Coturnix japonica: one gene and its partner. The protein of the gene in region 1 interacts with the protein of each later gene in a biochemical or structural test. Links are inferred from orthologs where the notes say so. Each region holds a gene or a part of one and is shown in the gene's direction. Other genes may lie near its edges.

What was found.
Region 2: the proteins of NID1 (region 1) and FBLN1 form a complex in vitro, tested with the Homo sapiens proteins (3 studies listed by BioGRID). The link is inferred for Coturnix japonica from reciprocal best matches to the Homo sapiens genes NID1 and FBLN1.

The regions. Positions count from the first base shown.
Region 1 is NC_029518.1:34,038,701-34,043,880, forward strand, and holds part of NID1 (nidogen-1), read left to right. Parts: intron 1-22; coding exon 23-195; intron 196-960; coding exon 961-1,087; intron 1,088-4,292; coding exon 4,293-4,464; intron 4,465-5,116; coding exon 5,117-5,180. UniProt on the Homo sapiens protein: Sulfated glycoprotein widely distributed in basement membranes and tightly associated with laminin. Also binds to collagen IV and perlecan. It probably has a role in cell-extracellular matrix interactions.
Region 2 is NC_029516.1:64,805,576-64,811,244, forward strand, and holds the start of FBLN1 (fibulin-1), read left to right. Parts: upstream 1-2,152; 5' UTR 2,153-2,666; coding exon 2,667-2,745; intron 2,746-3,284; exon of another isoform or gene 3,285-3,304; intron 3,305-3,348; exon of another isoform or gene 3,349-3,621; intron 3,622-5,669. UniProt on the Homo sapiens protein: Incorporated into fibronectin-containing matrix fibers. May play a role in cell adhesion and migration along protein fibers within the extracellular matrix (ECM).

The DNA.
Region 1 (5,180 bases):
TGTTTCTTTTTCTATGGACAAGGTCTGAGCACAGCTGCTCCTCCTGTTGCTATTGGGCCCTCTGTTCGACCAGACACAATTCCGCTGCCTCCAGGAACACATTTGCTTTTTGCCCAAAGTGGGAAAATTGAACATGTTCCACTGGAGGGAAACAACATGAAGAAAAATGGTGCAAAAGCGCTCTTGCATATTCCAGTAAGTAACCTACTGTAAAAACTAATGTGCCTTGGAGGAGCTGCAGTACAGACGAAAGTGATTGTCATTTTTGTTGTTTGATAATTTAAATTTCAAACTCAATTTTTATGTTTTCTTAAGATTTTGGTATCTCAGCACTTTGTCACTGAATTTTTGACCTGACTATTTGGGGAGGTAAGGGGGGAAGATAACTGAGCTATAGAAAAAGTTATTTGCTTTAAATGAATACATCATAGGGCAAGAAATTAATATTTGTGATCTCACATGCCTCCAGCAGTTGACTATATAAATACTGCTAACCTCACGTTTCTATTGGTGAAAAATCTAGAAGACCTGCAGGACACTCTAAACTCAAATCTTCAGACCTACCTTCTTTTGTCCAAAAAATCATTTCTTCCTTATTCCAGTGAGAGTGTTCAAGATTTATTTGTGAAGTATTTCCAAAACTGTTATTTAATGAACTTACTTTGCTAGAACTTTGTTGTGGTAATTGATACTTTTAAGTAACTGCTAAAATGCATCAATCCATACAAAACGGCTGAATATACAGAAAGAATGAAAGGAAAAAAAGCAGATGAGGAATACTACAGCAAGATGTCAGCAAGAACTTTCTTTAAATGAACATACATACCTCTTTGGAGTAAGCTCTGTGAATAGTGTCTGCTTGTTAAAAGAAACGATTGGAAGCACTATTCTAAGCTACTGTACAGTGAGTGCCCACATCGTCCTTTTCTCTGCTTGATCTAATTTGCTTGCTGACAACAGGACAAAGTTATTATTGGAGTTGCTTATGACTGCATGGACAAGATGGTTTACTGGACAGACATCAGTGGTCCATCGATCAGTAGAGCTAGCCTACATGGTGGGGAGCCAACGACCATCATCAGAACAGGTAACAGCACCAAGTTCTTCCTACTTCCTATTAATGCCATTAAAGACATGAATTAGATAATTCATAGGTGTTATTTGATCTGCAGCCTTATTACAAGTGAAGGTTACTCAAATAAAAGATACCCAAAAGCTTTGGTGACTTAAAATGAAGAAGGATCTGTTTCCTGTGTAGTAGCACTTCATTGCAGTGCTTACACTACATTACAATTTGGGTTATGGTTTTGATGACTCTTTAATGTAGGAAAATCATGAAAGCTTTTCATCAGTCAGTGGATGTGCAGACAAAGGTGATCCAGTAAACACTGTGTAACTGGATTTTGTGAAGCTTTTGTAAAGTTCTTTGCAAGGGACCTCTGAATAGGTCTGTAATAGTTCTCTGCTGAACTGACACTTTGTTATTGACTGACTAAAAGATAAGTAACAAGAGTAGCAGCAAATTGCAGGTGTTCATGATGGAACTGGGGTATCTAAGGCTTAGAGCATTTAAAATATGAAAACATTTCTTAAAATGTTAAGAAGGAGGGACAGGTTTAGGGAACCAAGTGAATGTGGAACTTGGGGGGGGGGGGGGGGAGAACAAACAAACAGCAAAAGAAGCTAGAGGGAAGCACTTTTTTTATACTCATTCACATCCCTGGGATCCTAGAATACTTGTAAAGTACTAGAGTTTCTTGCTTTTTATCTTTCCCAGGTACTGTCATTGAAATGTAGGAAATTAATTTAGCAAAATAATCAACAAGTTCTAAAACTCTACAATAAATTTGCTTTGGTTTTCTTTGGATGTGTTGCAAATTTCTACTTGGAGTAGAAATATGCTTCAGAATAGCCAGTTTGTTGTTACTCCATTTCAGCTCTCAGGGGCAATGGAGAGAGGGGAGCAGCTTGGATTGTGCTTTTGTCCTGGGAAGGGTTAAGGGAAAACTTAAAGCCATCCCTAATCACAGCAGCAACTATTTCTGTACAGCTTAGCTGTATTTCTATACAACTTGTTGGCTGAGGAATTTGTAGAACTTCCTTTTAATCCTAACATTTTTAATTTAAGAGTGCCTCTAAAACAGTGTAGGCAGTGAATGCATATGCATGTATAACTACAGCATCAATGGGGAAAGGATCTCCAGTCTCTACCATTTGAGGATCTACTCTTCAGGGACTTTGTCATATTGTGCACTTTAAAAAGTGAAGGAAATTGCTATTGCTAAAGATTTTGTATATGTATGAATTGTTCTAATGAGACTGTGTGTGTGTGTGCTTCGAAAGCCTTGCAGTATATAAAATGTTTTTGGAATATTTGTGAAGGTTTTCTACTAAATTGGATTATTTTAGGTAACTCAGAGTGCCTACAATGTACCACTGCTGCATGGGAACCTTGTTTTTATCTGCTACAAAAACCACCTCAGAAATTATGAGATATTTTTCCATATATTGCCTTGTCATGGGATGTGTTCAGTGCTTCTGAAGAGATGTTGAGCAATGTTTCTTTTTACTTCCTGCGTGGAAATGTTAACTGGATTTTTAATACAGAGTCAGAACAATTTATGGCTGAATATTCAGTATTGAATAACTCTGTGGTACTCAAAACTGGACCTTTAAAATTTCAGTAAATGGGAAAATGCCTCGCTCTTAGAAAGCTCATAAGAATTTATTATTTTGTTTTGATCTTTGCCTTTTTCCTCTGGAGGGCTGCAGCTGCTTTCTTCAGTTCTCACGTATTTTTGTGGAATGCACTTTTTTTTGTTGTTGTTGTTAAAGCTCTTGCAATCCAAGTTGAATTGTTCTGCAGAAACATGTTTTATTGTGGAGCCCCATCCAGTTCCCATCTATTCCTGCAGCTGTGTTGCCTGTGGAGGCTTTCTGAGCTCTGCAGCTGTGGGGGCAGGTCAGAAAGGAGAACTTCCATCTTTGTTGCAATTGCTTAAATTATGTTAGTTGTCTATCTATACAAGCCTGTCTGTTTCCAAAGAGTAGAGCCTGTGACTGTACCAGCCTTGATGGCAGTGCAGTAGGGGCACGTCTGTGTCAGTGATGCCTGTTCTTCACAGGGATCGTTTGTGTCACACACTGTTTAATGGCTTTCATAAATACACTTGAAAATTAGTAGAACACTCATTTGCCACATTCTTTTGTTGCAGGGCATTTAAGTGATGTGTAGATCCACATTTGAAAGATTTCTTGAGAGCTGGCTGGTATGAGGGGTCACTGCCTGTTTTGGGAGTGACCACATGCAATTCTACTTATTCTGGAACTGAAATCAGACTAGAAGTGATCTGTAGTGGCTTTGGCCTCACAACATCCCACACAGCCTTCATGCTCCTTTTCAATTAATGGATGAATGTTGAAAAGCATAGAAGCAGCTTTTCCACAGTGGCTGAATTAAACCTTGAAGAGCTATATATTTATTATGCATCTTTCATGCGAGTTAGGAATTACTAATGCTAAAGCAGAAAGGATGTTATCTGTTATTTCCTGTTGTTTTTGGAACAACTAACTATCCAAGACAAATAGTGCACATACAGTACTAAAATATGTTCCAAAAAGGATTGCTGTGCAAAAACAAAGAACAGGATCTAAATTCCATCAGTTAACTAATAGCATTATCTCTAGTGCTTCAGAGCATGCTTTCTGTATTGCTTTGGCTAAGCTTATTAAAAATCCAGTTTTCAAATGAGTGCTACTTACCAAAGAAGGGGGAATATTAAATAATATATTAAACACTATAAAATAATTCTGGATCCTGACTTGCTATGGATGGTAGAGTAGGATTCTCATAGTCTCTATTTATTTCCCTGTTATCTACTCTTATTTATTTATTTTTTTCTTTCCTCTTCAAGGCAAGTTTATATTCAGACTTGGGATGTGTGCTGGTTTGGTTCTTATATTTATCATTCAGAAAAACAGTCTGGTATAATGCATAGTATGAAACATAAGTTAGTATCTTAACTCTCTGGGCTATCTGTGCTTTAGCTACATATGACATATAGGTGAAATCTGAGGCTTATTTAAAGGATGTGTTCCCAAGGAGGGAGATGTACTAAGGGAGGCCTGGGGAAAAAGCTATTAAACTTTTCCAACTGATGTAGCTTTTATTGCCTGCAACCAGAAAACTGAAAAAAAAAATAAAATTCTCTGTTCAGAGTTGTGAATGCTTATAAGGTGAATGTTGCTAAGAAATATGATGTCTATGAATATTTTTCTCTTTTCCCTTGCAGACCTGGGAAGCCCTGAAGGGATAGCGCTAGATCATCTAGGTCGCAACATCTTCTGGACTGACTCTCAACTTGATAGAATAGAAGTGGCCAGACTGGATGGGCGCCAGCGTCGCATCCTTTTTGACACTGGCCTGGTGAACCCCCGTGCAATTGTTGTGGATCCTGTGAGAGGGTATGGATACCTTTTGAAAATACGCACGCAAAGCTTAGCCTTTACAGGGGTCAAGTAAATTCTTAGCCTCAGAAAGAGCATTCAAGGGCAAAAAAACCCACCACTGACAAATGGCCATTAATAATAAAGTGTCATTGAATTAATGGCCTTCTCTGAAGTTCACCCCTGACCACAAACTACTCTGATTGATTCCATTGTATAGTGCTTGATGTGCTGCAAAGAAAAACAGGATTTTGAATGAATCCTGCAGATGTGTGCCAAATGTTGCTGCTTCTGCTGCTTAGCCTGCGTAGATATGGGTGGTGGGAGGAGTGCTGTGGTTGTACATTTTAAACAGTCCACAGAACTGCTGAAATAGAATTGGTTTTGCCTGGCATCTAGCACATAACCTAAACAAAGCATGGAAAGCATTTCTTCTTTTAATAAGAAAGAAAAGAATCTCATACAAGAAGTATGTCATTCAGTATATCTTCGGGATGTTTTGTCACTTTGATATTAAAAGGCAATTTGGTGCTTCTTATTAATGCAACTACTACTTTGGCTATGTAGGGTCATTTTTATCCTTACTATTTATTATTTTTTTTTTCCTTGATTACAACAGTCACTTGAGATCAGTCAGTCTTTATTTTTACCTATTTTTCTTCCTCTTAAGAAACCTGTACTGGACTGACTGGAACAGAGAAGCTCCTAAAATTGAAACTTCATACATGGATGGC
Region 2 (5,669 bases), on another chromosome or scaffold:
ATTCTTTGTCATTCTTCTCGATTGTATCTACTTGCAACAAGACCCTTGGAAATGGCTTATGCAATGATTTGTTACACTGTCATTACTCATTAATCTGAGCTTTCGCAAATTATTTTTATTCTTCTGAAGTAAAAATACAATCCTCATTAAAGAATTTGTTTGTTTTAAAAGCTACACAAAGGATTACAAGGCTTTCGCAAACAGATGCAAGAAAAAAAAATGTGGTTGTGCAAAATGTTCCCTCTCATAAGCCTTTACTTTCAATGGACTTCCAGGAGCTTTGAATTGAGCCCCAAGTGCATGGTTTAGCTCACTACAAAGCTTGGGGTCAGTAACTAGAATCACATGTACCTGAAGCCACTGAATCTGACTGTAGGTGAGAGGGCCAATTTATACACTGGAGATACAAATTAATATGAAAAAGGCAACCAAGGACTATTATCAGATCTTCAGATGGCTGTAGCTGTGAAGGTTTCTGGAAATATTTCTTAAATTCTTAGTTGAGTTTGCCTCGTTCCTGGTAATCAACTTGTGGTGGCAAACCAAGCAGGAAGAAGGAATTCTTACTCTACAGATGATGTTAATCAGAGTAAGCCCTTGTGTGGACTAGCTATTATGTGTGACTTTATATTGCTTCAGTAAAACTGGTGAACTTCTTTATTTTCATCTTTTATCGGTTAGAAGCAGGTTTAAAGTAATGTGAAATAAGCCACTGTGGAACTGACTCTAGGGTTTCTGTAAAGGAGACACAGCTATTCCAGTTAAGCTGGTGCAAAATTTAGACAAGGTGTGATCTTTGTTAGTTGCCTCCTGAGGCTGTCTATGTGTTAAAAACAGCAGCTGGGAGGTGGTGAAGAAACTGCCAAAGTCCCACTGTAACTGATGCAAGAAGACTTGAAAGCAGGGCATTTAAAGAAGAGGCAGAAATAGAGGGGATGTGTGTAGAAAAGGCAAGCAAAGATACCCCTGCATAAAGTTAGTCCTCTGTCCTCCCTCACCTTTTTTTAACTGCCCCATACAAATGAAATGGGGGGTGGAGGGAAGAAAAAAATAAAATTAGGGGGAGGGGAGGAAGAAACAGTGGTCACAGAAAGGATGACCTGGTGGGCAGGATATCCATGGCATGAGGAGTGGGGATAGGGCTCAGTTCTTTCATGTGTCTTCCTGCAGCAGTGAGGAGGCACCAGCAGAAGATGGATGAAGCTGGGTGCAGAGGGAAAAAAATGGACTTTCACACAAGCAGTGGAAGATCAGTGTAAATCTGTTGCCAAAGGATATTTCGGATGATAAAGGTTTACGAGAACTCATGGTGAGACTGGATAAATACCTGGGATAGGAATTCACCGAGGTCTACTAAGTACACAGAAATTACATTGCTCTGAGGAAATGTTCCAAACTCAATGCAGCTGGAGGCTGGCAGGATAACTGAGAGAAGGCTTTCCTTGAGCTTGTCCTTCCTCAGTTGACCACTTGAAACCATTGCTGAAAGCAAGCTGTTCGGCTAGTTGAACTCATGGCCACAAGAGAGAAAAGACCAAGTCACCAGAGGCAGAAAGAAATCTGCATGCTTTCAACTCTAATGCGTCTTAAATGCTGTTTTCCAGTTGGATGTTTTGAGGAGAGATACTCAGGCACACTGAGTGCTCACAAGACAAATAGTCCAATCAGAGTCCCCTGTGGCACAACTGCCAAGCAAACATAAAGAAACTTACAGCTATTCCTGAGTAAAACCAACTGCAAAGTGGAGTGGAGCGATGAACTCCCTGTTTGTTTCCACATGTTTTTGCACGTAAACATTGTTCCCATGTTATCTGAAAGATCTTGGCAGCGACATAGCCAACTGAGTGCCTCCAACCCAGCTCTGCCTTTGACCACTATCAGTGTTTGTGTTCCTGTTTAAATAAGATAATGGAGGTGGGGGTCGACAGAGCAGAGCTGGGTAGAAATTCTCATCCTGGTATTTTACCAGAAGTAAGAACGGTGGGGTTGATTTGTTTGTTTGTCTTCCCCCCTCCTCCCCCCACACCCCCAGCGAAGCTTGTTTAGAAATTCTAGAATGTCTCTCCTTTTTAAAATCCTTTGCACTGGAAAAATAAAAGTTATTGCAAAGCAAAATCCATGGAAAGACCAAGGAAGGGGGAAGGGGAGGGGAGTGTTGAAAAATCTCCTCTCCAGAGGTTAAACCTTTCCTCCCCTGCTAGGTGGTTTCTTTTGTTTTTCCTCTGCTTTGCCTTTGTTTGTGGCTTTCTCCCACTTGGCTCCGACAGAACTCGCTGCGTTTCTCGCTCACACAATCAGTCAGGCCGTCCCTAGGTTCACTCTGAGGATCTGTAAAGTTTTCCGAGCCGAAGGGAGTCGCATTTACAGCCTGTGTGGGGGTGGCGAGGAGAGAGTAGGGGTATCAGCACAACAGGGGCTCTGCCTCCGAGCCGCGGTGCCGCTCAGTTCTGCTGAGCACTTGCAGGCTGTGTAATTAACCGGGGGAGGCAGTGAATTAAATCTTTGTAAAGCCCACCGAGTGTGTGTGTGTAGGGGGGGGGGGTTCTTCCGAGCTCTTTTCCAACCGGTCTCAGGCGGCTGGGATAACCTCAGGCACAGCAGCTACGGCGGCGAGCGAGAAGCGGGGAGAGCCAAGCCCCGCTCGGTGCGAGTGCTCCCGCCGGCCGATGGACAAGCTCCGCGGGGCCCGGCCGCTGAGGCTGCTGCTGCTGCTCCTGGCGTTGTTGCCTGCGCTCCGGGGACAAGGTAAGTACGGCAAGCGGCACCCAGTGCGGGCGGCGGGGGTCCCGGCGGGCTGCCTGAGGGGCGAGCAAGACCGCGGGGCGGGAGCAAACTTAGAGCGAAGGGCCACCGGGCTACCCTGCGGCTTTCACCCCTCCACACACACCTCACCCGTGCCCCTGGACGTCCCGGGCAGGCTTTACAGCGCCGCTGCCACGTTCCCGTGAGGAGAAAGGCGTGGCGAGCACCGCTCCCGAGGCTCCGGCCCGGCAGGTTGGCTGTGCTGCCCAGGGCAAGGAGTCGGTGTAACAGCCGTAGTGGGGCTGCCCAGGCGGCGGGGCCGGGCGCGGCCCGCGGAGTTCGGCAGCTCCGAAGCAGTGACGTGAGGGGCTCCGAGGCCGGCCCTGGGGAGAGGGCAGGTGTGAGCCGCCGGGCACCGGGTTGCACTCCAAAAGTGGGATGTGGGTCCGAGGGGGAGCTGAGGATTTGGCCGCAGCAGGAGGCAGTGAGGCAGGGCGCTGGCATGTCAAAGACTGAATGTGAAACGTCCGAGTGGAGCTGCGTGGTGGAGTTGCTGAGGAGGGTGAGGACCTGGGTCCTGCTGGCCTTGTCTCTATACCGTGCACGTATTTCCCTGTTCTCTTGGAACCGCATCAAAAGAGGACATTTGTTTGGTTTAAACCGGCAGAGTGTATGGAAGTGTAACTGTTAAGATATATCAGAGAAGCTGCTTTTCATGCTGTGACGGTGGGTTCATCATAGCTAGCGGCTCAGTGGCATCTGTCTGCCTGACTCTGAGGGGCTGTTCTGAGCCCAGAATGGATCATACTGCACGCCAGCAAACATTTACAAACATGTGCCCCCCCACAAGCCTAACGATGGCAGACGAAAGCCAGTGAGGTAATTTATTATTTACTATTTGGCTCTTGGATTTCCCAATTGCACAGCAGTTGTGACAGCCGTCCTTTGAAATACTTGCCTTGGACGGGGATGTTAGCCACTCCTTTTAAAGACGAGGAACAGGATAAGGAGGGACTGGAAAGCGAAGTTTAGTGCTAAAATCCAAGGATAGCTTCTACTTTCTTTCTGAGGGCAGGGTACATTTGTAGCTTTGATGCTTCACAATGAAGGGATGTAATAATATTGACTGCTGAAAACTGCTGTAAAACACTGAATCACTTCACTGTGTAATTCAGTGTATCTTTAACCTTAGCTAATTCACTCCTTTTTTTTTTTTTTTTTTTTTTTGGGGGGAAAAAAAAAAAAAAAAAAAAAAAAAAGAGAGAGAGAGAAGAAAAAGAAGAAAAAGAAGAAGAAAAAAGAGTGCACAATCACAGATTGCTGTAGATTGAGGCTCTTGTCAATAGGATTAATTTCCTCCTTTTTTTTTTTTTTTTTTTTTTTTGGTGGGGGGAAGTCATTGGATGTGTTATGTCAGGCTTTTGAATCTTACTGCAAATTATAGACAAATTTGTCCATAGAAGGTATATCAGGTCTTTATTCTCGAATAAAAATCAGAACTCTAATTTCAGTGGGAATTGCTGTGTCTTCAGAATAATAAAACATTAAATTAGATAAAGTTAGACTTAAACGTCTAAGAGCAAATGAGGGTCCTTGTTTAGGACACTACTTCTTGAAGGGAAGACTTCGAATAAAGTATTATTCGAAGATGTGGATATGCTATGGAACCTACCAGTAATTGTAATCACTGTAAGATATTTTTTTCTGCTTTCCTTCACAAGGCTATCTGAGTTTTGCAAGCAAATGAGCTGGTTACATGGCAAACTCACGTTGTTTGAGTGTTTGCTGTTTGGGGCAGAATCTGTTTTCCTCTGTGTGAGTACTATAAAGAGGCTTGGGATAAAGGCAAGGGCCTCTTTATGATGTAATTTGCCAAGTTACTTTATCAACTTATTTCTGAAATACAGCCTCCTCATAAGCTTTCTTCTTTCAGCTTTCTCGTTTGCTTTTCTCTTCTAATGAATTATCAGATAATCAGTATTTATTAATTAAAGACCTGGGGCTAAGTTCAGAGGAAATGCCCATTGCATGTGGAGATAGAATGCTTATAGGAATGTGCGTACTTGGATTTTATGATGCAACTTCATTTTAAGTTAAATATTGCACTTTTATTATAACAACTTTTGCTTATGGTATAAATTGCCATCCCTACTGAAAGAGGTGGATTAGTCACATCATTACATCCAGTCAGTGTATGAACAGTTCACGCTCTTACTGGGTCTTTGGCATGTCTTGGTATGACAGACACAGACAGTTTAACTCACTAAACATCTGGAAACGTGTCTATTCAGTGTGAGCTTATATTTTGTAATAAAAAAATGTTCCACTGAGTTTGTGGAATGAGTTTTATTTTAAGATCATGATTTTTACATGTGCTTTTATAGCAGTAAGTTTATAAGAAATATGTGGGTGGAGTAGGACTTATAAAAGGCTGGTTTTATTCTTTTTTGCTTGCTATCATAGCTACAGTCTCCCTAATCATAGAATCATAGAATGGCTTGAAGAGCATCGAGTTCCAACCCCCTAAAAATCATGTACCACCAAAAAATCTAATCCTAAAACATGAGTGCTGTCTACCTCTAAATTAGTTTTCTGTTGAATTTCTTTTTAATAAACCGTTTTCAGTCATGATGTTTTATTGCAATCAGGGGAAGAGCAAAATGTTAAACTCTTGTTTTTCATCTCTGTAATTGAAAGCAGACGTGTTGGTCAAATCCAAGACAAAAATTCATAAACTAGCTTATCAAGTTACTGCAGTGTATTTATATGATTCCTTGAGATTGCAGGCAAAATCTGATGGCAGGTCAGTGGATTTTCAAAATGTGTTTATTTATTGCTATGCACAGCCAATATTGCAAGCTTGATATCAACTCTACATGTACTGTCAATAAATAGATCTATGTCACAGAATCACAGAACTGTAGGGG